3 linked regions of the Kluyveromyces lactis genome follow. The protein of the gene in region 2 binds, or shares a complex with, the protein of the main gene of each other region. Links are inferred from orthologs where the notes say so. Each region holds a gene or a part of one and is shown on either strand. Other genes may lie near its edges. The genes, in order: POP8, POP5 and POP7.

Region 1 (8,458 bases), on a different chromosome or scaffold from region 2:
TTATTATGTAGTTAATAGTCATGAATGGGTATTTTAAGGTTTGTTGATGATTTTGAATTTGCTGAACGTCAAAGATCGAGATTTTTCAATGTATACATTGGCAAAGAAAGACACTAATAAGATCCAATAAACGGCCAGTGCTCATCGATAGGATTGGTTTATACTGCTGTAGGTGCTAGTGCTCAGCATTGTTCTTTAAGAAGGGTGCAAAGTTACTTCATATCATTTGGTAAGAATGAATGTCAAGAATGAGCATATGAACAAATTCGCCAATGGAGTCTTATTTCTAATGTTGGGACAAACGTTGAGTAAAGGGGTTAATTTCTTGTTGAACACTTTGCTAGTGCGTTATTTATCCCCCCGAATTTTTGGTATTACCTCTTTCCTAGAGTTTTTACTTTCTACAGTACTATTCTTCAGTAGAGAATCGATTCGGATCTCCACCTTACGGATCAAATCTACAACAGATAGCGGCAAATTGGAAAAAGTAGAGGATGGTGAGGATACGAGAACTTTGCAATCCCTGATTAATTTTGGTTATATACCGTTTGTGATTGGGTTACCATTGTCTATTATCCTAATTTCATGGCAATACTCTAATCTAAATTCGTACTTCATTGACCTTCCATACTTCAAAGCCTCCATATTCCTTATATGGCTTAGTATATTGATTGAGTTGGTCAGTGAACCGTTCTACTTGGTACATCAATATTTACTCAATCACTTTATCAGATCCAAATATGAGAGTTTAGGTGTCACCTTTGCATGTGTTGCGAACTTTATTATAGTTGTCTGGTTTGAGAAAATGGTGAACGGAGTTGGGCTAGAGTTGCATGATGATTACAAACAAGAAGGGATCGCTATTTTTGCATTTGCAGTTGGTAAGCTCGTTCACGCGATGACTTTACTTGCATGTTACTCCTACAATTATTACTCAGAGGTCTATACTACTGGAGAGCGTTATAGCTACAAGTTGACAAAAATCAGGCCTGAAACAAGACAAGAGTCATACTATTTCCAAAATGATACCGTTCAGCACTTCAAAAAAGTGTATTTCCAGCTATGCTTCAAGCATTTGTTAACAGAAGGTGATAAGCTAATCATAAATTCGTTGTGCACGGTGGAAGAGCAAGGTATATACTCTCTTCTTTCAAATTACGGCTCTTTGATAACAAGACTATTGTTTGCTCCGATTGAGGAGGCATTACGCTTGTTTTTAGCGCGCTTGTTAAGCGTATCGTCGAAGAAGAACTTATGGTTATCTATGAAGGTCTTGATTGACCTAACCAAGTTTTATCTGTACTTATCACTCTTCATTATAATATTCGGACCAATCAATTCGTCATACTTATTGAAATTTGTCATTGGATCTAAGTGGTCAAGTACCTCATTTTTAGAAACAATAAGAACTTACTGCTTCTATATTCCATTCCTTTCCTTGAATGGTATCTTCGAGGCGTTTTTCCAAAGTGTTGCCTCCGGTGATCAGATTTTCAAACATTCATACGTCATGATGCTCTTCTCAGGCATTTTCTTGTTCAACTGTTGGTTATTCATAGAATATTTTGACCTATCACTAGAAGGGCTCATTGTCAGTAACATTTTGAACATGGCTTTGAGAATAGCATACTGTGGTAACTTTATTCATAAATTTTACCATTACCTACTAAAAGAATCGTCAACTGAAACTACTCAATCAATCTTGCCAAACATTTCCACCTTCAAGAACGTTGCTCTCATCGCAGCCATAATCGGTGCCCTAGATTGGTATTTCATAGGCTATGTGGAAAATATGCGGGAACTACTTATTAACGTCATTTTGGCATTATTGTTACTTATTTTGGTGATTTACAAAGAAAAGAGCTTAATATCAGAACTGCTAGCTGCAAAAACCTATGCGGCATAATTAGTAACTAGTTAGTTTCCTTTTTAACGACATATCTCAAATTCAGTTAGTTCATGATTTATATACAGGTCTCATTTTTACATATAATCTTCATCTTACGGTCGATGTGCATTATTTGTAAGATGCTTGCTATTAAGATCCAATAATTCAATTAGATAACAAGAACTGCAGCACAGATGCTTAATAGAAAAAGAGAGTGAGCCATATCTATATACGTGCAACTGCTCTATATAGAAGATTACCAGAGAGTTATGTGCCTGAACCATTGATTATGGATGAAGTGAAAGATAAAACTGGAGTACGGTTCGTAACTTTCAATGTGAATGGAGTAAGAACTCTTTTCCAACATTATCCTTTTAGTAGGATGAACAATTCATTGAAACTAGCATTCGAGTTGTTTCAAGCAGATATAGTGACACTACAGGAATTGAAGATAGATGCTAAAAGTATATCTAAATGGGGTAAAGTGGAAGGTTACCAATCATATATTACTATATCTCAAAAGAGGAAAGGGTACAGTGGGGTTGGATGCTGGATTCGTACACCATCAGAAGATGATCCATTAAGACATCACTTAAAGGTCATTAAGGCAGAGGAAGGAATTACGGGGCTTCTCCGAGTGCAAGCTAATGGCATATCCTATCGTGAGAGTTCAGAAGGGATTGGTGGATATACTGGTTTGGATTTTGCTGATGAAAACGACCTTCTTGATATTGACAGCGAGGGAAGATGTATCATCATCGAATTGGCTTGTAATGTTGTTATCTTTTCAACATACTGCCCTGCTAACTCGTCACAAACCGAAGAAGGAGAATTGTCTCGGCTGACGTTTTTAAAGCTACTCTTCAAGCGGATAAGAAATTTGCACGGGTTAGGGAAGCATGTCGTGCTAATGGGGGACATAAATGTTTGCAGAGATTTGAAAGATCATGCTACGGCACTAGATGAATCATCTATTTCTTTATCTCAACAGAAGACGGGCTCTGAAATTGAAGAAAAGTTTAATGAGAAATGCGTTCAGTTCATCATGGACCCATCTCGCATTGGAAGAAGGTTGCTTAATACAATGCTATGCGATTCCATAATTTCAAAATATGCACAAGAGGGTATTTTAGTAGATTCTACGCGAAAGATACAGGGTAGGGACAGACTAAAAATGTATACAGTCTGGAATACGTTGTTAAATACTCGGCCGGTCAATTACGGTTCTCGTGTTGATTATATCTTTGTCAGCAAAGGATTAAAGGATAATATTACGGACGGTGATATTTTGACCACTATTATGGGATCAGATCACTGTCCAGTTTTTGCTGATATCAAGGTAGATAACCTCGAACTTAAACATGAAAGCTTCAATAAGCCAAAATTTGAGGCTGCCACGAGATATTTCTTGAACCATGGGAACATTTTAGATATGTTCCGCAAGGCCAATCGCAAAAGCACCAGTCCTTCCACGACAAGCACGGGCAAAGTAGTAAAACCACTGAATGTCAAGCAATATAACGGCATGAATGCTCTGGCCTCAGCAACAGTTTCCAAAGATCAAAACAAAAATGTATCGATACAGCCTCAGTCGCGCGTCAAGAGTGCACATATGAAGGCTTTCGAGGAAATGCTTGGAAAAGCACCAGTTTGTGAACATGGTGAAGAAGCTGTTCTTCGAGTCTCTAAGACTGACAAAAGCTTTGGTAAAAAGTTTTGGGTGTGCAATCGATCAAAAGGCGAAAAAGATGATCCAGAAGCATCTTGTGGCTTCTTTCAATGGAAGTAATCGTTCTTCCGTGTTCCACCATTCTGGGTTATTATTATTTTATGCATCAATATTTATGATTTAGTTTATAATCTTTCTTTTTCTTTGGATTCAGCTTCTATCTCGGCTTCGGATTCTACCAATTTCTTGAACCATATTCTATCATCCTCATGAACGGTCAATCCGGACAGGTTATTGCTTTGTTCGAGCACATTTATTATTAGTGAGGTACCGACCAACTCATCGCTCGCTATGTAAGTGCTTATGGCAGTAGTAAAAATATCAGTATCATTGACGCTTACCTTTGCAATAGTATCCAAATTATCCACGTATAATAATTCGTACTCAATTGCTTCGCCAAATACACCGTGAGATCTTTTCAAAGCTGTATTCAACATTTGAAGCCAAGTTACTTTATCCACTTGGATCTCATTGTCTTTTTCCGAATCATGCGACGTTACCTTTAGTTTAAAATAAAACCATTCTGGTTTGAACTTAGCCATGTTTGTTCCTTGATCCTTTTCGAAAAGATGAGAGATTAGACAAACTCTGAACACATACTACCGGAATCGAGCCGACATCAATATTCGCTTCTCTTGTATTGTTAGTTATTCTTATCCAGGTTTAAATTTCACATTTTCACATTGAAAAAGGTTTATTCAAAGATTAACTGATCAGAAAGACTGAAAAAATTTCAAGGTATGACACTCATATATGCCTCTATGTTTACTTTATAAAGATTATAAGCTGTTAGTAGTGAACTACCCGAAAGTTAAATTAAAATCCATTTTCTATACGAAAATTATGTATAATGTTAAAGAGTTCGAGTATCTTCAAAAACATAAACTAGGTAAGTGTTGATGTTTTAAGTTGACTCATGAGGATTCGCTTCCTCTGGGTTATCAGAATATGGTGCATGGGTTGGTGTATCAGATGAGAGGTCAACTTCTTCGTCGTTACCGATTTCAAAATTACCCTCATTCTCGATGAAACTTGCAAGATCGTCAGCATCTTCATCGTGTCCAACAAGTAAATCATCTGCGTCATCTAAAAATTGATCGTGTAAGAGGGATTGATAACTTGGACCTGTTGTGTTTCCAAATCTGCTTAAGCCTCTCTTGAAGAAATTCCCCACTTGGTGTCCGAAATATTGAAGACCGGTGTAAACATTAGAGAAGAGGAACACTCCGTTTCTAAGAACTGTGTTTACAGCTCTATCGGTATTGTTCTCTTCTATGAGGTCATCATCTCCTAATCTAATTTCACCGAAACGAGCAAACCCACCATTCCTCTTTATACCTCTATAATAAATGAATGACAGCATGCCAGTGAATATCAGAACAGCAAAGATCCATATTGCTAAGAATGATGTATGGTTTACTTTATACTTCTCTTTGAACTCTTTCTCTTTTCCTGGACAAGGGTGAGGACTATCAGAGTTAGCGAGCATCAATCCGCCATTGCAGGTAGAAAGAGCGATCTTTCTATAGCCAGTTGGTTCGAAGTATTCGATTAAGGAATTGTCTTTGGAGCAGATGTCTTTAGGATCTGCTGGTTTTAAGCCATCGATTAACTTGCAAGTACCATCAGACACACGCATGAAATTATAATCACATTCATAGTCATTTCTGGTACAGGAACAGTTTGCAAAAATCCTAAATTTATCTTCGAGAGGTGCCATGCCGACATAACAATCGTCAGACTTTTTACGTAAATATTTTGCCTTGTGTCCAAACAAGCACTCCTTGGTGTTAGGGTGACTTAATGAAATATATTCGAAATCTTTTAGATCATCTTTCGAATATTGACATTGACGTGAAAACATGTCCACAAAGTCCAACGTATAAGTTCTTGTTTCTTCGCCACGAACATTTACTGAGGATCCAATTACTAAGAATCTCATTGCAGAGTCTCTTGGGACAGTGACCAAATCATATACATTTATCTTTTCTGAAGCGAACTGGTAGTCTTTCCAAGTCTTTCCACCGTTTATGGAGTAGCTGACTGTATCAGTTGGTTCGTTATCTTTGACAAGCACCAACACACTTCCGTGATCACCATACTCCCATTGATAAGACCCTTTCTTTACCTCAGACCAAGATATACCGCCATCGTTGGTCATAAAAGTAGATGCTTCGCTCACCGGAGTCAAATATTCTCCAACATTACCCAAGGCAAACATATAGCCAATAGCTGAGCCAGAAGAATATGTATCCCTAACATCTTTTCGTTCTGTGAATCCATGAAGGTTTAAGGAACACTTTTCTAGGTTTTTTGGGTTGCAATTATACTTTTTACCTTCAGAATCCACAGATGGTGGCTTGATGTACGTCCAATCAGCACCATCATTGAAGGTTATTTTAGTTTTTAATTTCTTCTGTGAAGTTTTATCTTTGCTTTCAACTATTTCCTTCGCATTTGCAACAGTGTTGATCAATATTATCCCTTCAAGACCTTGAATTTTTTCAAAATCAACAAAGCCAAAGCTGTTTCTGTTGACTGCTCTTTCTAAAATGACAAAAGATGTACCTTCGGTATTAGACTTTAGTAATGCTCCGAATTCTTCATTCTTATCAAGGTTAGTCGTCATATGCATGAATATTGCTCCTTCCTGTGATCCAAGGACTGTGAAGGCTTTTTGTTCATAAGAATCAAGGTCTGCAGGTAAAACTGCTTCTGAATATTCCACACCATCTATGGTTAGGTATGCACGTAGTTGACGTTCACCATGCGACACTGCTACTACAATATAGCCACCAGTGGACATGAATCCTAAAATATCAGAATAGAGAACTGTTTGGGTTTTGAAATAGTCTGTAGAGGACACGTAACTTCTTGCACCGGTAGATTTGTCTTTTACCATACAAACAATGCCGTTTTCTACTCTTGGACTTTCTACAGCTGACTCCAAGAATTCACAATTTGAGGCTCCTTCCAAAAGCTTTTCGAAAGATGCCCCTCCATCTCTAGTAATGTATGCTACAGCATGGCAGTTAGGATCGAAAAAAGACTCGCAACTTTCACCGCCGTAGTAAATGAAAGTCTGAATATCTTTAGCATGGAAGGATAATGGGAAACCCAACTGTCTTCCTGCAGGAAGCTCGGTAACTTTAAATGAAAGCCCGTAATCATGTGTTGCGAATAAGTTTTTGTTTTTACCAAATAGATATGCAGATGAGTTGAAGAAGGGGTTGAAATTAATCTCTAAAATATCTTCACCGCCAGTTTGAATTTGCTTTATATTTTGACCACCATCGTGAGACACATATGCTTCACTTTTGTCTGTCCTGAAAAGAATTGATTCCCGTACGAATGTGTCAAAGTATTGATACGATTTGAATATCGATGAAAATTTGTTTTCGGTAACTTTTACATTAGATGGGGCAGGTACAGCAGCGCACGATATCTCCTCTTTTATGATATTTTGTGGTCTCTTACATTTAGTTGTTTTTGATATTTTCTTAGGTTCCAATTGAATACTCTTTTTACTTTCACATTTTTCCATGAGAGATGCTTTTGAAAAATCTGGTACGCATTTACCAGCTGAATCGATGGAGAAATCATCAGCGCATTCGTAGTCTAGTTCGCTACAGCCACACAATTCTTCCTCGAAAGTGAGATCTTTGTAAGTGGTCTTAATTAGACATTGAGCATCTTGCTTTCTTCTACGGAATTTGAGAATAGTACCGTCAACACATTGACCGTTAGAGTAATACCAATCTTCCATATCAGAAGTTTTACAGCTGGCACCCTTGAATGCATCGGAGAAATCAACGACGTAGGACACGGACTCTAGATTCTGGTAATCTTCAGACATAATTGTACCGACTAACATGAATGAATTTCCGGATCCGTCCAAAGCAGATGGTAATAATTCAGTTGGGTAGAACGATTTGTCAAGTTGGTACTCTTGGAATGTTTTCCCTTGGTCTAAGGAGAAGTAGAATTCGCTCTGCGGGTCTTTATCAGATTCTGGATCAAACGGCACTGCAAGAATGATATTACCGTAGTCACCCATTACAACTCTACTCGGGAAATCGAGTACCTTTTCCCAGGTCGAACCATCGTCTCTTGAAATAAAGGTACCCATTTTTAAGAAATCACCAGAGGGATTTTCTTCATATACATCACCAATGGCGGCTATAATACCAGGGCTGAAAATATCTGAATCACCTTCCACACCTCCACCATAAACGATGAACATTTGGAAACCACAGTCATTGGAGTCGCTATTGATATCGCAGTTGTAATTCCATTTACCTTCGGGATCACTTACTTTGAGCTTACTCCACGTATTGCCCAAATCAAATGACACCTTCGATCTAAAATCAAAAAATCCAAAATCCCGCATAGTATTGGTCCAAGTTGCGAACATTGTCTTCTTAACAAAGATAGACGTCGATAAAGTCAACGAAGAAGCTTTTTGTTCATCAAAACTCAAATGTCTGAAGTTCTTACCGTATGAATCTGAAATCAACGCTTCAATGGAACCGGAAAAAATATCTTCGAAAGGAGATTTATCTTCGTCATCATTATTATCACCATCCTTATTTCTTTCTCTATGGTAGATGGTAATAATTGCTCTCCCATCTATTTCGTTGACGTCCATTAGCGATTTACGAATCTGTGTTCCAAGGGATATTTGTTCAAACTTATCAGTGCTATCATCTTCCAATCTCCAGAGATTTGCGGCAGAATTTTCATTGAACCGATCTGATAATGTCAAGATAAATAGATGATTATCGGAAATGAACGTTGATGCTGGAGACAAATCCTGTAATTGTTCGGCAAACGGACTCAAA
Region 2 (8,349 bases):
GCGAATTGGAACGGTCGAATAAAATGAGCACAGCAGAAAAGTTAAGACGATTGGCGTACCAACAAGGAAGAGATGTTTCTGATAAAGTTGTTTTAAATGCTGCAAAAGCCACCGAGACCCCAGATCTTCAGTACGATTCCCGCTTGTTCAAGAAAGCGGCATCATCTGTGGCATCATCTTCAAATCAAATTTTCGACCATCCATTGTTCAATAATAGCCAGATTGACAACATTTACAGGCCAACTACTGGTTCTAACTTAGAAAACGAAGATATTGTTGATCGACTCTCAAATAAGAAAGGAAGAACTGGACCGGTAGAGTTCTCCGCTGCTGATGATGGCAAAAATGCGGAACAGAATGAGGAAGATAACGAGCATGCCAGAGAATACGGTCTTCAAGTGCGTAAGAAGCCTCATACTTCTTAATTGTGCGATACCGATATACTGATATAATTGTATGTAATAATATTCAAGCACTACTAATTGAATGAAATCAGCGAATCAGTCATTATTTTCATCGTCAGTGATTGAAGAAAACTCATCATTCCTATCATCTGTCAGAAGTATTCGGTTCAAACGGTGACTTCTTCTGATAGCAAATAACTCAACTTTTTTAATAGTTCCGCTAACTTTTATTGGATTCATTATGATGGGCCCAACAGATTCAATCTGGTTCATCAAAGCAAGTGCCATTATTACGTACTGATGGTCATCATGGCCACATCGTATTATACCGGTTGATGTTCTATTCGAAAAGTATTTGATCTGTAACAAAGCCGTAGCCTTTCCCAAGCCATAGTCCCCGAAATTCACCTGTAATTGTTTTCGTAGTTCCTGCAAAATATTTCTCGGACTGATAGTATTTGGTGATACTTTGTGATGCGTGGTTAAAATGTCCTTCTTGGTTATATCTGGCACTGTTTCGTACTCATCATCTACATCTGGATATAGTACTTCGAAAAGAATGTATCTGCTCTTTAAACGAACCATTGGATTTCTTCTATTTTGCCTATTATGACAGCAAGTTTTATTAATAGTAGGATGAAACCCCCGAATAAACGTTGTTGCACAACCGTCCTTTATCAAAATCTTGATTCCTTCACAGTTGATCTCCATCATAACTCTAAATCTTGTAATGTGAAGCATCTCTCTTTTTTTTTTTTTTTTTTTTTTTTTTGGTTTGTCGCATTCAAGTCACAGAAGAAGAACGAGAATACGCCAAGCATGTCCAATATTTTATGCATTATTGCCGCATCACCAACCTTAACTAACAGATTGTGTAAATATCAGATAATTCATTCTCTATATAACAAAAGGCGTAGCATATCTTTCAAGTAATATCATATATAGTTGAGTTGAAAATCAGAGTTCTCATGCATATATTTACAAAACTTTGAGACTTGAGATTAACTTCAAGCCAATCGTAGCCAAAGAGTTTATATTAAAGCGGGTGAAATTAGATAGTCAGTCTCTCTTTTAGCAAGGCTTCAACTTCCGCAACAGCGGAGTCAATACCGTTTGGTTTGTCACCCATACCTTGGAAGACATTTCCCTTACCACCAGCTTTACCACCGATGCTAGAGGATACTGTTTTGGCTAAACTAGAACCATCAACACCTTGAGCAATTGCTGCGTCAGATATGTAGCATCCGTGAGCAACCTTTCCGTCTGGTTCATTACAAGTGAATAAGTAGATAGACTTGTCCTTCGAGTTTGTTTTAATGTGATTGATAGCTTCAGTGATGGCCTTAGCATTAGTTGGAATGTCAATATGCTTGACGTAGAAAGAAGACTCTTTGTTAGCATCAAAGTGATGTTTGACGTCGTCCAGAGTTTGTTTAATTTCCTTCTTAGCTCTAGATTTCAGTTCATCTTTAACTTCCTTTTCAATTTTGTTGAATTTATCCTTCAAGTCAGTTTTGGTGATAACGGAAATAGTTAGTTGGCCTAGTCTGACACCTAGCTCCTTTAGCTTTTGGGCCTTTAAAGGGGAGAAAGGCAGTTTTTCAACTGCAGTTAATTCGCCATCAAATTCAGTAGCAATTCTTTGTACTTCATAGGCTTCAGGTCCAGAAACCGCAACAATTCTTCTGATACCTTTGGCAATACCACTTTCTTCAACAATGACGAATTCTTTGATGTCACTAGTCTTAGCAACATGGGTACCACCACAGAATTCAATGGAGTACTTTTGCCATTCTTCACTAGTTGGGTTCTCTAGGACTTCTTCAACGGCCTTACCAATAGAAACAACACGAACTGGATCCGGGTAAGTTTCACCGAAGACAGCACGGACAGAAGAGATAGTCTTAGCCAAATCTAAGGCAACTTCCTTGTAATACACAGTTAAGTTGTCCCTGATCTTTTCATTGGAGAGTTTTTCAACCTCCACTAATTCCTCATAAGATAAGGCTCTCTTGTGCGAGAAATCGAATCTCAACTTTTCCGGTGCAACTAAGGAACCCTTTTGATCGACATCATTACCCAACACTTCTTTCAGAGCAAAGTTCAAGATATGTGTACCAGTGTGATTATTTCTTAGGGGATGACGACGTAGCTCTTCGTAAGAAGCAATTATACTGTCACCAATAGATAGTTTACCGTCACCAAGAGAACCGGTATGGAAAACATAACCGTTGTAGGCTTGAACATTGTCGACGTTGAATTCTGCTTCACCATCGATAACCAACTTACCTGTATCGAACTCTTGACCACCTTGTTCGGCATAAAAACAAGTTTTGTCTAGAATAACACCATATTGCTTACCAATTTCGGTCATAGAGTCAACGAATTTCTCACCATCATATATTCTCAAAATAGTGGCTTCAACGTTTTCGGTCCCATACTTAGATGAATCATCAGTCTTAGCGACATTATCACCGTTAAGTTGAGACAATTCATGAACGTTTAATCTGATCAAATCAGATGCACCCTTCTTACCACCTTTCTTAGAAGCCTCGTATGATTCCTGTTTAGCTTTCTCAAAACCGATTGTATCGATCTTTAAGCCCTGTTCTTCAGCCATCAATTCAGTCAAATCGACAGGGAAACCATAAGTATCGTATAGTCTCCAGACTTGTTTACCATCCAAAGTCTTGTCTGCTTTCTTCAAAGCATCTTCAGCATACTTTTCAAACAATTTTTCACCACGGTCTAAAGTTTTTGCGAAAGAAGCTTCTTCTTCGTCCAAAATTTCGAACAAATAAGATGGGTCTCTAGCGACTTCTGGGAACATATCCTTAACTTGTTCGATTAAAGTGACAGACAATTGTGAAAAAAAGTTTCCTATAGGGTAGTTCATGTACTTTCTAGCGTAACGTGCACCACGTCTCAAAATTCTTCTCAAAACGTAACCTCTACCTTCGTTGTTAGGAACACCACCATCAGCCAAGGCGAAAGTTAACGTACGAACATGATCAGCCAAGACTCTGTAAGCGGTGTCAATACCATCCGTATCCTCAGCACCAAATTTACCAGTGTATGATCTGACCCCAGTGATTTCTTGGATACGGTTGAACAAAGGTTCGAAAACGTCGGTGTCGTAATTAGATCTAACATCGTGCAAAACGGACACCAATCTTTCGAAACCCATACCAGTATCGACATGTTTAGCCGGTAGAGCTCTTAGAGAACGATCTTGTTCTCTGTTGAATTGAATAAAAACGTTATTCCAAATTTCCAACACATCTGGATCGTCTTGATTAACAAGATGAGCAGCGTTTCTACCACCAATTCTGTCATAATGAACTTCAGAACAAGGACCACATGGACCTTGTTCACCCATTTCCCAAAAGTTATCCTTGGCATTACCTGGCAAGATATGATCATCCTTGACGCCAACGGATTTCCACAAATCACGAGCTTCGAAGTCTGGTTCCAAACCCAATTTTTCGTCACCTTCGAAATAAGTGACGTACAATCTATCACCTGGAATACCGTAGACTTTGGTCAACAATTCCCAAGAGTATTCAATAGCTTCCTTCTTGAAATAGTCACCGAACGACCAGTTACCCAACATTTCAAAGAAAGTGTGGTGGTAGGAGTCTCTACCAACATCTTCCAAATCATTATGCTTACCACCGGCTCTGATACACTTTTGAGAGTTCGTAGCTCTCTTCAACTTGTAAAAATCACTGGATGGGTCAACTGTTCCCAAAAAGATTGGCTTATACTGATTCATACCAGCATTGGCAAACAATAAAGTTGGATCATCGAATGGAATCACGGGTGAAGATGGAACAAAAGTATGGCCCTTAGACTTGAAATAGTCCAAAAATGTGGAACGAACGTTGGCAGCCGTCCACTTAGACTTATCACCAATCGTCATCCTAGCTGTAAAACTGGAAAATAACCTGCAATTAACGCGAAACACCTTTCCTAAGGACGTCTTCGAAAGCAAATTCTAATCAAGAACGGGAAGATTTAATCAAACCGCTAAAAACGATGAGTAATGATTAAATTAACGACTTGAAACAACGGGAAAAAAGTTCAGAAATCCCCCTAGTTCTCTGAATATGCCGCCTAAGGTTTTCAATAACTTTCGAATACAACAAACGAAAGAGCAGTAGTAGCCTCTGAACCTGAGTCCAAGCCTTCTACTCATCCGTTTTTATGTATAAGTTAATTGTTCAAAAATTCCAGAATATCTTCAAATCACTTTTTGATATTTTTCTCAACGCTTTCCGTTTCACAGATAGATAGAGCCAATGAAGAAAGAAACTAGGAGTCACGTGAGAAATACACTCACGTGACTCTTCATTCGAAAGTGGCTGAAGCTACCTTGCCAGTGGATCTGATAGACATGCGTAAAATCCCATAGTACTAGCTTAGGGAGTAGCATTATAGTAATGGTGAGGTTTACAAATTCTATAACATGTGTAGGACTTTAACATGCTTCATATTTCCAGCTTAAAAGTTTTTTATTGGCAGAAGATCCCGCAAGATTTTTAAGGTTTATATTTGCCTTCTATTAAGATCAGAATTCGAGATGAAAGAGAGTATTTAGATCAGCACAATTTGACAGTTTGTGTTCCAACAAGATTGAGTGAACGAGTTTCCTGATCTAAAACGGTGCAAAACCACGATGGTCTTGTTTAGGTTACGAATTGTGTTTTTGCTGTTAACTGTCCTGCACATAACGCAAGCATTTAATGAAGGAATTGGTAAGAGATGGCTTTCAGCGTCCCTTGTTGATTACGATGCATTGTCTACCGACCAATGGATGCAGTTGTATAGAAAAATAACGTTAAGTGATGAAGAAGAGGATGAAGAAGATGAAGATGACGATGAAGGAATTGAGGAATCTATAAGTTCAGCTTCGGCTGAGAAAGTACAACAAGTCGAAGGCTTGTCCGGTGCCATTTCAAAATATGTACAGATTGCACCAATTGATGATGAATTCAAAGAAACTTGCTTTGTTTTGAATGGCAAAATATACTCTAAGAGCGATGACTCATTTTATTTCAAGACCTCTGAATTGGATGCTCAAGCTCTTGTTCCAGATTTCGATGTGTTAAAAGATAGAGAGATTGCAATCGGAACTAATGCTTCTGCTCCAATTGTGGTACTTTACGGTTGTGAAACAGATTTAGAGTTTGCTGATTTCAACAGAAATCTTTATAATGAGGCTAAGTTTGGTAAGATTAGAATGACTTGGAGACCGACCTGTATCATAGGTGATACACCAGAATATGCATTGAGTGCCACATTATCGGACAAAAACTGGGACCAAAAGGCAAATGTTCACCTTGTAATCGATGATTCTGATCTAAAAATTAAGGATCCAGTCAAATTGAAATACTTGGATCAAAAGGAACTAGAAGATTTGGATATGAAATTCACCGCGTTATTGTTGGAGAAATTCAATGAAGATCATGATTTCGATTCTTTCTTTGAATATTTCAAGTCGTTGTCCTACAATTTTCCTGCAGTGGCACCAGTCATTGCTTCTAAAGACAACATTGATACAACACCAGCAAAGAATATTGTTAAAGACTTCAATAAGAGAAAAATCTCTCATGAATTACTTGGCTTGTACATCAACGGCCAACAGTGGAGATTGTCAGAATTAGATGAAACTACTTTACCTGCTATCCTCGCTAAGGAATGGTCTAGGGTTAATGATTTAAAAGAAAAACTAAGTAAGTTCCCCGGTGCTGAGTTAGAGAACTTTTTGAAATATTTCACGGTTGGCTACTCATATACGGCTTACTTTGACAAAAATCGTTACGATTTCTATCGTACTCCAGGTTTCTCTGAAGCTGTAGTTTTCTTCAATAATTTCGAGAAGGATGAGCTATATAAGGACCTGCCTGAAGACAATATGGCGTTTTTGGAACCATCTGATTTCGAACCAATTCCTAGCATCAAGCAGAATTGGAATGAGCTCATCTTTTTTATTAACTTTGACGATATGACACAATTCAAAGATGACGGTGCTGTAGGATCATTGTTACAAGCAATCGATCAGATGGAAACTGGATATCCTATCAGGTTGGGCTTAATTCCATTTTCTTCCTCTGGATCGAACTCTGTTGTCGATATGATTTATAAATTGAAGTCGGAATCTGACAAGCCTCTGCAGTCGATAATAGATTACTTAAGAACTCTTATTGGACACTCTGAAAAAATTCAACCTCAGACAAAACACAAAGGCAGTGCGTATGATGAATACCTTGAGAGATTCAAAATAGCAGATACTTGCATAGCAATGAATGGTGTACTTTTACCATTCCAAGCTAAAGCATGGAAGATTCATACTTCAAGGATATTATCCGCCGATATCGAGTATTTGAAGTCAGAATTGCAGGCCTTGGGTGATTCATCTAACCTATCAGTAAGGCAACTTCTTCACCATAGGTCCTTGACATTGAAAAATCCGGTATACATACCTAACCGTATGCTGGATGAAACCTTCACCAGAGTTAACAACCGCGCTCTACATGTACTCGGTAGTCGCACGATAATCTTTTCTGATCCGAATCAAAAGACTTCACCCATTCATACTATCACTTTAGTCGATGATTTCAACTCTTATAGCGCTGTTCAGAAGATACGAGCCCTACTAAGGAACAATCACAAAAGTGTTAGTTTCAGACTAGTTCACGTTGGTGATTTGTCAAAGAGTTGGGATAATTTTAAAATGGAATTCAGCACAGGGAAGTTGTCAGGTAAAATAGCCTCTAAGACGACTGTTAATTTCATTGTTGATCCCTTTTTGAATGTTTTAAGCTCTTGGTTGCCGGATATTTCTATTAAAGCTCTTCGTAAACCATTTGCAGTAATCAATGGTAAATTTTTCAATACGGATGACGATTTGTATTCTGTTGAATTATGGCACAACATTTTGGTTCATCATTCTTCGCGCACCCTTGATGTATTGAAGACACTACATCACATCGGGGCGTTGGACGAAAACATAATGAACCCATCTGCTATCGAGGAACTTACTGCTGCTGTTATCAAATATGTACATCATGGTTACCTTGTATTGAATAACGGAATACCTTACACTACAGAATCCTCAATGCCTCGAGTGAGTCTTTCTGAGTTAGAAGAATACACTATCACTAGCCGCTCTGATCAATCTGTAATCAACGTCACTCTATTGCTAGATCCTGTTGAAGAAAGGACACAGCGGTTGTTATATTTGTCAAGTTTATTGAAAGACTTGCCATTTGTAAAAACAGAGGTTGCATTGGTACCGACAGCCAATCTAACATTGAACCCAGTGCATAGATTCTACAATGCTTCAACCGGGATATCAGATAATGGATTCTTATCAGAATTTGATTATCCTCATAACATCAACCCAGATGACAAATCAATAATTATTGAAGCCCATGTATTCGATGAAGGTGACGATGTGTCAATTGACATTATTGATGGTCTGGCCGGTGTATGCTTGCAGCTAATGGACAACGCAGGAAATGTTATCGATAAAGGTCTTTCGATGAAATCATTTGGATATGTCCAATTATCATTACCTAGCTTGCAAAAGGGATTGAAGTTGGAAAACTGTGATTCAAGTTACGAGATTACAGCATTGTCGACAATGGCAGAAGCAAATTATATTGAAGTAGAATCCTTTGATGTTGATAACTCATTGCCTACCCAAATTCATGTCAAAGTGAGAAAGACTACTGCGGAAATTATGAACGAAAAAGACGACAGAGTGAATGTAATGGTTGTCGTGCATGATGGACAAGAAAGTGTGGCCGTTAAAAGAATTGAAAGAGTCAAGAAAGAAATTGGCGACAAAGCAAAATTTTATATTTTAGCTCAGAGACCTAAGTTAATTGTCCGAGAAATGCCAGCTTCAGTTGACTATCATTTGTTAACGTATACTTGG
Region 3 (8,454 bases), on a different chromosome or scaffold from region 2:
AAAATGCATGGGAAAATTGAATGTCTATTGAAATAAGCGTGTAAAGGAATTCAATAGGACATTACGCCAGCATCGGCAGGAAGTAAACAATTCGAATTTTAACTTTGTTATTAGCTTTGTCATTTATTTTTATTACTATCTTAGGTCATGTCAAATTAAAAAAGCATTTCAGTTGTAGATAAATATAATGGGACCGGAAGCACTAAAAAACATGCAGTTTTCAATTCCTTCTACAATTACATTTGTTCTTCCTTAATCACGTCAATTAACCAATCCAAACCTTCAGTTATCCCTTCGCCCTTAATGGCACTGGATGCAACAATACTCCAGCTTCTATCCTTCAATTCTGCCAAGTTCAACTCCTTTGATACTTCTGACGCACTTAATGCGCCTGGTTGATCTTGTTTATTGGCAAATACGAGCAGAGCGGAGTCCTGCAATTCTTCTTCTTGCAACATGAGGTGCAATTCCTTCGAAGCTATATTCATACGGTCCTTATCTGTAGAGTCAACAACGAAGATAACTGCTGCTGTGTTTGCGTAATAACAACGCCAGTATGGTCTAATCGAAGTTTGTCCACCTAGATCCCACACGTTAAGTTTCAAGTTTTTATAATTTAACGTCTCTACATTGAAACCAATGGTAGGTTTTGTAGTTATCACTTCTCCTATCTGTAGTCTGTACAATATCGTCGTCTTACCAGCACCATCAAGCCCTAATATCAATATACGTAATTCTTTTTCCGCACCCAATAGTCTATCAAACATAGAACTAAAGAAGTTACCCATTGTGATATTTTATAAGTAATTGCTGTACTGCGGTCAATTCAAAGGTAGTTGGTAATTAAAGAAAAGGTGTATTAATAAGTCAATTAATAATTTAAAACCAAAACTTTTGTACTAGTTGATATGTAAAATTAGGAAGTACTTGTTCAAAATATTTCTTATTTGAGAACCAGTTACAGCCAAAATTCGAAACAAATAAACGAATAAACAGCGATCCAGACAGCGGTAAGTTTGTCTCCTGATGTGTAAACAATTTTATTGTATTCGTACTATAAGATCAGATAATGTCTTTGTAATGAGTGAAATATTAAATACAATGAAATCATAACTCCTAACCAATGCAGTGTGTTATTAATCACTCGATCCTGAGATTTTCCTTTCACTAAAATTGTAGTTGGCCTTTTAGTGGCCGGGTAACAACAAACAAAGAGACCCCATTAGACATAGTAAAAATTACTTGCGTATATAGTCTGTATCGTTCACATTGTCCTCGCTGTATTTTTTTGTTCAATCTCAATTTTTTATATATGCGAGTTTGTAACTGCAGAGAGCTCACATGAGGCATACCGGTACTGATTAATGCTCTGAATTTTCTTTCTTCTTCTATCTGTATAAACATATTCTACAATATATGAAGAATTTGTAGATCAAAAATGATAATCAGAGAAAAATAATAATAGAATATATTAATCTGATTTGTAAAAATACAAAACAGTAAGACTGCATACCTTTGCATGCAAAGCTAAGGGTAACGTGATTATTATTGGATATCTTAACTACTATATTGCCAACTAAGTGTGGTAATATATCATTATTGGAAAGGCTTTTCCATTGCCTATAATTGTTATTCTTCACTACTTTTTTTTCTTTCAAATAGCAGGCCACATCCACATAAGATGCATCCGTTGTACAGGAAACTCCTTAGGGAATGGAAACGTTTGAGCCATTATAAGCACTCTACATGCCATATCAAGCCACAAGAATCAAATTTGCAGTTCTGGAATATAGTACTACATGACGAAAGCCGAGATTTGGAACTTTACTGTGTTGTTTTCATAAGCCACAAGCCTATGAACGAATGGGAGCCTATCATACTATTAAACTGTTTGACACCTAATCCCTGCATACCTGTGAATAAGACTATCTGCTTGAATCATCTCTCTCCTGTTCTTCTGAACTATGGGTTGTGCTCCTTTTATGAGCATTTGTTATCATCAATTTATAGTCGCTGTACTAATATCACCGATTATCATAAAAAATTGGCCATGGCTTGGAACAGAATTATGGTAAAGGAGTTCAAGAATTTCTCCCCGCGACTATTCGAGTCTTACTCGGTGACTCAAACAGACGTTCAGATGGTAAACGAATATTTGCAAACGCAGGCTCAGTCACAACCTAATCATACAAAAAGAAACTCCCCGAAATTGCATAGTAAAAGCCCAACCCCGGTAGATACCCATAACCACATAACAAACGAAGACTGTTCGGAACAGTTATACAGGGGAAAGAGGCAAAGAACCGGGTTGAGCTCTTTTATGAGTGTGAGTCCACTCACAGAACCGAATCTCAACAACTTGGAAACCTCTGAAGATTGTGACTTTTTAGAAAGTAGAAAACGCAGGCGATAAAATAAAACTTTCTCTGAAACTATTAAGTTAGTCACCTTTCCATCCAATGAAGCTATTTTCATCATCCTTCTAATTTAATGCATGGCGTCTATATAGTTTATGGCACATTATGTGAGGATTTATCTTCCGATCGTATCGAAGTTTTAGCAATAAATTTCTCTCACAGTACTTATGTATATCATTGTATATCATATATATACATATATAACATAATCTATCAAGCGTAAACATATCATAAATTTTTACTTTTTGAATGCTCAAGAATAGTCTTAATCATTTCGTTGCCAATAGCATTTGCTTCTGGAAACATTGGAGTGAAAAATTGTTGTACCTCTTCAAATTGTCTCTTATAGAGTTCGAAGTTACCAAAAGAGACGATATTAGACCACGACCTTGCAGCTATGACGAATTCCATATCATCCGCTCTGAACTCTGGTACGTTAATCGCAGCATCGATAGTCTGTTCTAGTAAACCATCTGTTAGGAATAAGTATTCGCTAACCCCCAAGAAAATTCTGAATAAAGGAGTACTGCAGATCATATGATCGTAGGGATCAATTCCCAATTGGTACCAACTATCGACAATTGCTAATAGAGATAAATGAGAGTTTGGTATCACTTCGTTATCTTCACCTTTTTCATGTTTTGATAATGAGTAATCATCAAGAGCTAGATCGTGTAATAGTAACAAGCCATTGTGGTTACCAAATACAAAATCTTTGGCGACTTGAAGTCTTTTAGTAAGTTCATCTTTCTTCCCTTCCACGAAAAGGGTAAAAAGCTCGGTAGCACTTTTAGCGTATTGTGTGATTTGTTTATGAGCAGCAGGGTTTGTTAAGGCTAACCCCGCATATACATGCCATTTATTAGAATAGATTCTTAAGGAGATATTCACTTTGACATTCTCTAGACTTCCATGCCACTTATTGACTCCAAGCGTCCATGGGTAGATTCGTATCTTATACCAAGCAACCCCCATACTTAAGAATGCTGCGTGCGTTACTGCTTGGGTATCTGCAGTAATTTTATCATGTTCCTCGTAAGATAAATAAACATGTTGGCTCTTCAAACAAGACATCAAAGATTCTACCAAGTCAAATGATTCCTGAGATTTAGTTCTATGGTTTATTAGGACTAACGGCTGTCCTTCTGTATTGACCTTGGGACCATGCAATGAGTGTACAGATACAATCTCACAGTCCGAAGGTAAATATTTCTCGAAAGCGTTGATTTCCGCATTCTTGCAACTGGTTTGTCCTCCGACAATCGAGCCTACCTTTGACGCTGCGCCATACATCTTCACAATATTTTCGATATTCTCGGCCTCGACTGAATAAATGATATAATCACTAGCTCTTGACACTAGTGTACCATTCTCAACAACATTGAAGCTTTCTGAGGAATACTTTTCTTTCAATTCTTCGTAAAATTCTGGTCTATCGCAGCAAATAACCCGCCAACCAGCTTTGGAAAACCTAGTAGCATATAGAAGTCCCATATCACCTAATCCAATGATACCGATGGTTTTTTCATGTTTCCACTTAGCAATTTGCTCGTCTGTACCTATCATTTTGAATCTGTGTTCGCCTTGTATTAGATGAATCCCAATGAGTCTTGTCGAAGAAGGTGGTCCAAAAAGAAGTCCAGAATGTTTGATGAGACACTAGGTATGGTATACACTGATAATAATGAACAAGTGACAGACTCTTGAATTCTGGTTTTGTCTAGTTTTTTCCTTATGACTAGTATTGATCATAAATTGGGTTGTGTTTATAAGAAGATACTTTAAAAATCTTGGAATTGGTTCAGTTACATAAAATTGAACTATAAGTCAAGATAAAGATCTAAATGCCGATGATGCGTTGACCAGACACTACTTCGTCTCAAAACTATATACACATAGTATCTAAAGTAGTACGAAAGTTTGATTAGATGTATTACTGTCAGTAGTGGGCTGCTGTAGTATGCTTTTTTTTTTCACTGTAAGTGTATTGGTAACGGAATTGACCGACAGTAATGTCATCAATCACAGTTGTGGTTGCTAATCAAAAGTAAGAAAGTTTAGCGCGAGCTATATATTATATATATGTAACTGTATTTCAATGGGAATAGGAAGAAGTTTTGAGCGCGGTGTATTTTAAATGTGTAACGCCAGGCGGTCGATATATGGTGCCTTACCCAATTAACAATGCAATGTATACCTGTCGTTCCCTTATCTATTACTGCTTTTGAGGAATTCGGTTCAATTGTGTCTCCAGATGAAGAAGTCAGAAGGCTTGACTCATCTCAAAAGAATGCCAACCAGGGAACTGCCATTAAGCTATTACAAGTCAGCCATATAGAGAACCAGTTCCCTCAGAGTTTAAAAGTCAAGAATCCAAGTTGTAACCTATTCCGGTGCTTTCCCAAAGGCGCTCTACAGAAAAGATTCGCTTTAGTTGATTCCGACGGTTCTTTAAAAAAGTATCAGCATGAAATCAAAGTTCTAGAGAAACATCCGTTCTCTACTCAAACTTTCATTCCCATGGGCAGAGATATCAAAAGCGGATATGCTTATCTTGTGGTGACCGCATTACCCGACAAAAACGGTGAACCTGATTTACTTACACTACAAGCATTTTTATGTAAATCAAACCAAGCTGTTACTTACGGTGCTGGAGTCTGGCATGCCCCCATGATAGTGGTTGGTGAAGAAGAGTACCTCGACTTTACAGTAATAATAAATGAGTTACACGACCATAATCAGCTTCAGTATGATTTAGAAGAGCGTTTCTACGATAGTCAACTGTCCTTGAATCTGTACTACTGAGATATATATATGTTCTACATCTTATTTAAGTTCATCGTCATAGCTTTGACTGAAAAAAAAAAAAAGAATGAGTAATTTCAGTCCACATCGCATCAAATCGCAAGTGTAAAGGAAGCAGTGTGCATGAAACCGTTGAAGTGCATCTGAGGCAAGAGAAGTGATACAGTGTTATGCTTCGAAGAATGTCAGAACTGGTTTCGAGTTTTTCTGGCCTTCACATTGCTTCGGCTGGTTCAAAATCGGTTGTGACTCCAAGTGATAATGCGGACCTTACAAAGGGTGGTAGAAGGAACCAAGCATTGACAAAACCGATCACCATCGATAGTAATACAGGAGAGGTACTGGTTAGGAAAACAACAGGTAAAACGAAAGTAAGAAGAGGTCAGAGCGCGGAAGAATATAAGGAACAACTTAGACAGTATTTCTTGGAGGAGAAAGGTCCAACGAGAACTGAGGAAGATGCCTTGAAGATGGAAGATTTTGATCTGTTGATTGAAGATGAGAGTTTTGACTATGCATTGAAGCAAGTACGACAGAAAATGGTCTCTTATGCTCAGAAATATTATTACGAAAGAGATTACATGAAGTGTTTAAAAGTATCAGAGCCGTTATTGCATAAGTTCGAGCCGTTCAATAAGAAAAACAAGATACGCAGAGAGTTAGAAGAACTCAGATACATGATCGAAAAGTCAAAAGCAAGGTTGGAATTGCAACCGTCCCGCTAGTATTTGATATGTCTACACTGAAATATCTATGTAACTCTATATTAATGTGCGCTTCCCATACTAATATTGATTACGCAATTATACAGGACTTATACGCACTTCAACACCGCTCAAAGTACGCTTTGTCAGTTCCGTTTCCCTGTCCTCTGTTGAAACCTCATTTCCATCTTCATCTTTACCATCATCAGCGAATACCTCATCCAAAACATCTAATGTCTTCGTTAATATGTCAACTTTGTAATCACCCATTGTATTGAAGTGTGCAGCAACTGATAGAGTTTTGAAAACAGCTTTACCCATGCCCAGTAGTGTAATGTATTCACTTTTACGTCTATGCAGGTTGGAAAGAAACCTGTTGGTTCGTTTCACCACGGAAATGTAAGGCGATGAGCTCTTCACGTAGATTGTAGTTTTAATTTTATCATGAGAAAACGTCTTCACTGTCGGAAGTTTTCTTCGTAACTGATTTAAATCCTTAGTATTTCCCATAACGTGGTGTTGTAAGGTTTTTTCGAACGCCCACGAAGCAGATTGCTTCTCTTGTCTTCTTAGAAAAGCCGTTTCTCTTGTTCACTTCTTCAGGCCAATTCAAAATCAGAGACTTTAATTAAAAGGAAATATAGATTACAATACCGATTGTGCAAATAACAAGTAAAGGGCAAGAAAAGAAAACGGCGTCTGGATAAGCTCAAAATCGGTTATTAGTGCATACAATATTGTTCAGATGTACCATGAGCAACAAGAAACTTCATGTCAGATTTGTTTCTAAATCGAAATCAGTTAATCCCCCATATAAACCACAAGACTTAGAGCCCATTACAATTGCATGTCTTTATAGATTATATCCTTGGCTCCTACTGCTGGACCAGTTATTGGATAAACTTATGTGGCATATTGACGATGTTTCCTTACAGTTGATATATATTATATTGCTATGTTACTCAACAGCGTTGGTTGTACCGAAGAATACTTCCTTACTTTTCCAAGCGTTTGATATATGGTTGGGGTACACAAGCGTATTCATTCTTGCTGGCACTATGTTTTATTACAATTATACGCTATGGAAAGAGCTTGAACAGAGCGAAGCACCCACAATAGATGAAATCACTCATACTTTGGACTCTGTTCTTGAGAAGCTTAAAACGGTTCAAAATGAAGTCCTCGGTACAGACAAGGTAAGAAAACTTACTAATATCAATTCACAAACCTTTAAGATAGTGGCTCTTCTGACAGTAATTCATTTAATTACCGTTAGTTTTTTGGATGTACGAACATACTCAGTGCTTGTCATTAGCCTTGTCTCCGTGTTCCATTCAGTGTATTACCAGAGCACGATGAAACTCCTATGGAGGTATTTGTGGATAAGGCGATGTTACTATTATATATGGGACAGCGTACCATCGGAATCCAAACTGGAAACCAACTTTCAACAATACAAGGTGATTTGTGAGAGTCAAGTCATTCCATTCCCTAAATCTCTACAAGGCTTGAAGGGCCAAGAGCTACAGGTTCAACTACAAATGTTAATCCTTCAGGATCCAACTAAGATTGATCCAGAATCCGATTACGTACACGTCAAGATCATCGAATACAACGTTGATGAAAACGAGAGAAAATGGAAGCAAGAGGGCTGGACCCCAAAATTGCTACCTTACGAAAGAGCTCACTTCTCTAATTCATTCACCCAAACTCCATCTGTAACACCATGGAAGTTCCACGAAGAACTACCTTCCGATTGGATCTGGATTGAATCTACTTGGGTACCCGGCAGCTGGCAATACTGTGATGCAAAATGGAATTTATTAGGTGCGAACGATTCGATTGCATGCTTCACTCGTAGAAGAACTTGGAAACGAAGAGCGTTCAAGATACTAACCTGAAGTTGGTCAAGTGGAAACTCCGTTTTTGGCAGTCGAAGTACAGCTCGAGAGTGTAACCACATATATATATATATATATATGTATATCTACGTAGTTTTGTAAAATGTTGCTGGATACATGTAATCACAATTTATTTATACATGTATACTCACATCACTGTACTGTCAAATAGGGTGCTAAGGATCTACGACTGCTATCTCATCTTGTTTTCTGAACCTTCCTTTCATGCTTTTTAATCATCATCACCGATTATGGCAACCGATACTCTAAAAAAAAAAAAAAAATCCCAATGAAGAGAAGCATTTAAAGTTTAGACAAGATAATAATCACGGAGAATAATACACAAATCAACATTGACAATCGTCAATAAGTGCGTATCAAAACGCTGTCGATAGTATCCTGCATAAGATCTATATTGCTGTGATGATACGTATAGCACCACCTTTGAGAAATGTCAGATATATATTTACTGCCAAGCCAGTGCAAATGACTTTTGAGGGCAACACCGAGGGGGTATACGGAAGTGAGGAGGAAAGGATGAGATCTGTATTCGGGGGTAGACTTAAGGGCGAGCCTCCACGTTCTACTAGTAGGTTTTTGACCTCGGAGAATATGAGAGAGATAGCT

The links.
Region 1: POP5 (region 2) and POP8 share a complex: the UniProt entries of both Saccharomyces cerevisiae proteins name them as parts of the nuclear RNase P and RNase MRP complex. The link is inferred for Kluyveromyces lactis from reciprocal best matches to the Saccharomyces cerevisiae genes POP5 and POP8.
Region 3: POP5 (region 2) and POP7 share a complex: the UniProt entries of both Saccharomyces cerevisiae proteins name them as parts of the nuclear RNase P and RNase MRP complex. The link is inferred for Kluyveromyces lactis from reciprocal best matches to the Saccharomyces cerevisiae genes POP5 and POP7.

What each region holds. Positions count from the first base shown.
Region 1 is NC_006041.1:920,180-928,637, forward strand, and holds POP8 (ribonuclease P), read right to left. Parts: upstream 4,160-8,458; coding exon 3,743-4,159; downstream 1-3,742. Other genes in the region: RFT1 (glycolipid translocation protein), read left to right, coding at 236-1,906; DNA-(apurinic or apyrimidinic site) lyase APN2, read left to right, coding at 2,178-3,677; PEP1 (type I sorting receptor), read right to left, coding at 4,522-8,458. UniProt on the Saccharomyces cerevisiae protein: Component of ribonuclease P, a protein complex that generates mature tRNA molecules by cleaving their 5'-ends. Also a component of RNase MRP, which cleaves pre-rRNA sequences.
Region 2 is NC_006042.1:216,825-225,173, reverse strand, and holds POP5 (RNA-binding protein POP5), read right to left. Parts: upstream 1,146-8,349; coding exon 501-1,145; downstream 1-500. Other genes in the region: mRNA splicing protein PRP45, read left to right, coding at 1-425; ALA1 (alanine--tRNA ligase), read right to left, coding at 1,456-4,326; KRE5 (Kre5p), read left to right, coding at 5,083-8,349. UniProt on the Saccharomyces cerevisiae protein: Component of ribonuclease P, a protein complex that generates mature tRNA molecules by cleaving their 5'-ends. Also a component of RNase MRP, which cleaves pre-rRNA sequences.
Region 3 is NC_006041.1:2,186,888-2,195,341, reverse strand, and holds POP7 (ribonuclease P/MRP protein subunit POP7), read right to left. Parts: upstream 6,437-8,454; coding exon 6,026-6,436; downstream 1-6,025. Other genes in the region: Arf family GTPase ARL1, read right to left, coding at 237-788; UBS1 (Ubs1p), read left to right, coding at 1,682-2,413; TYR1 (prephenate dehydrogenase (NADP(+))), read right to left, coding at 2,646-3,983; DAL3 (ureidoglycolate hydrolase), read left to right, coding at 4,602-5,222; KLLA0_E24685g (uncharacterized protein), read left to right, coding at 5,393-5,947; PEX32 (Pex32p), read left to right, coding at 6,679-7,827; DPC25 (Dpc25p), read left to right, coding at 8,251-8,454. UniProt on the Saccharomyces cerevisiae protein: Component of ribonuclease P, a protein complex that generates mature tRNA molecules by cleaving their 5'-ends. Also a component of RNase MRP, which cleaves pre-rRNA sequences.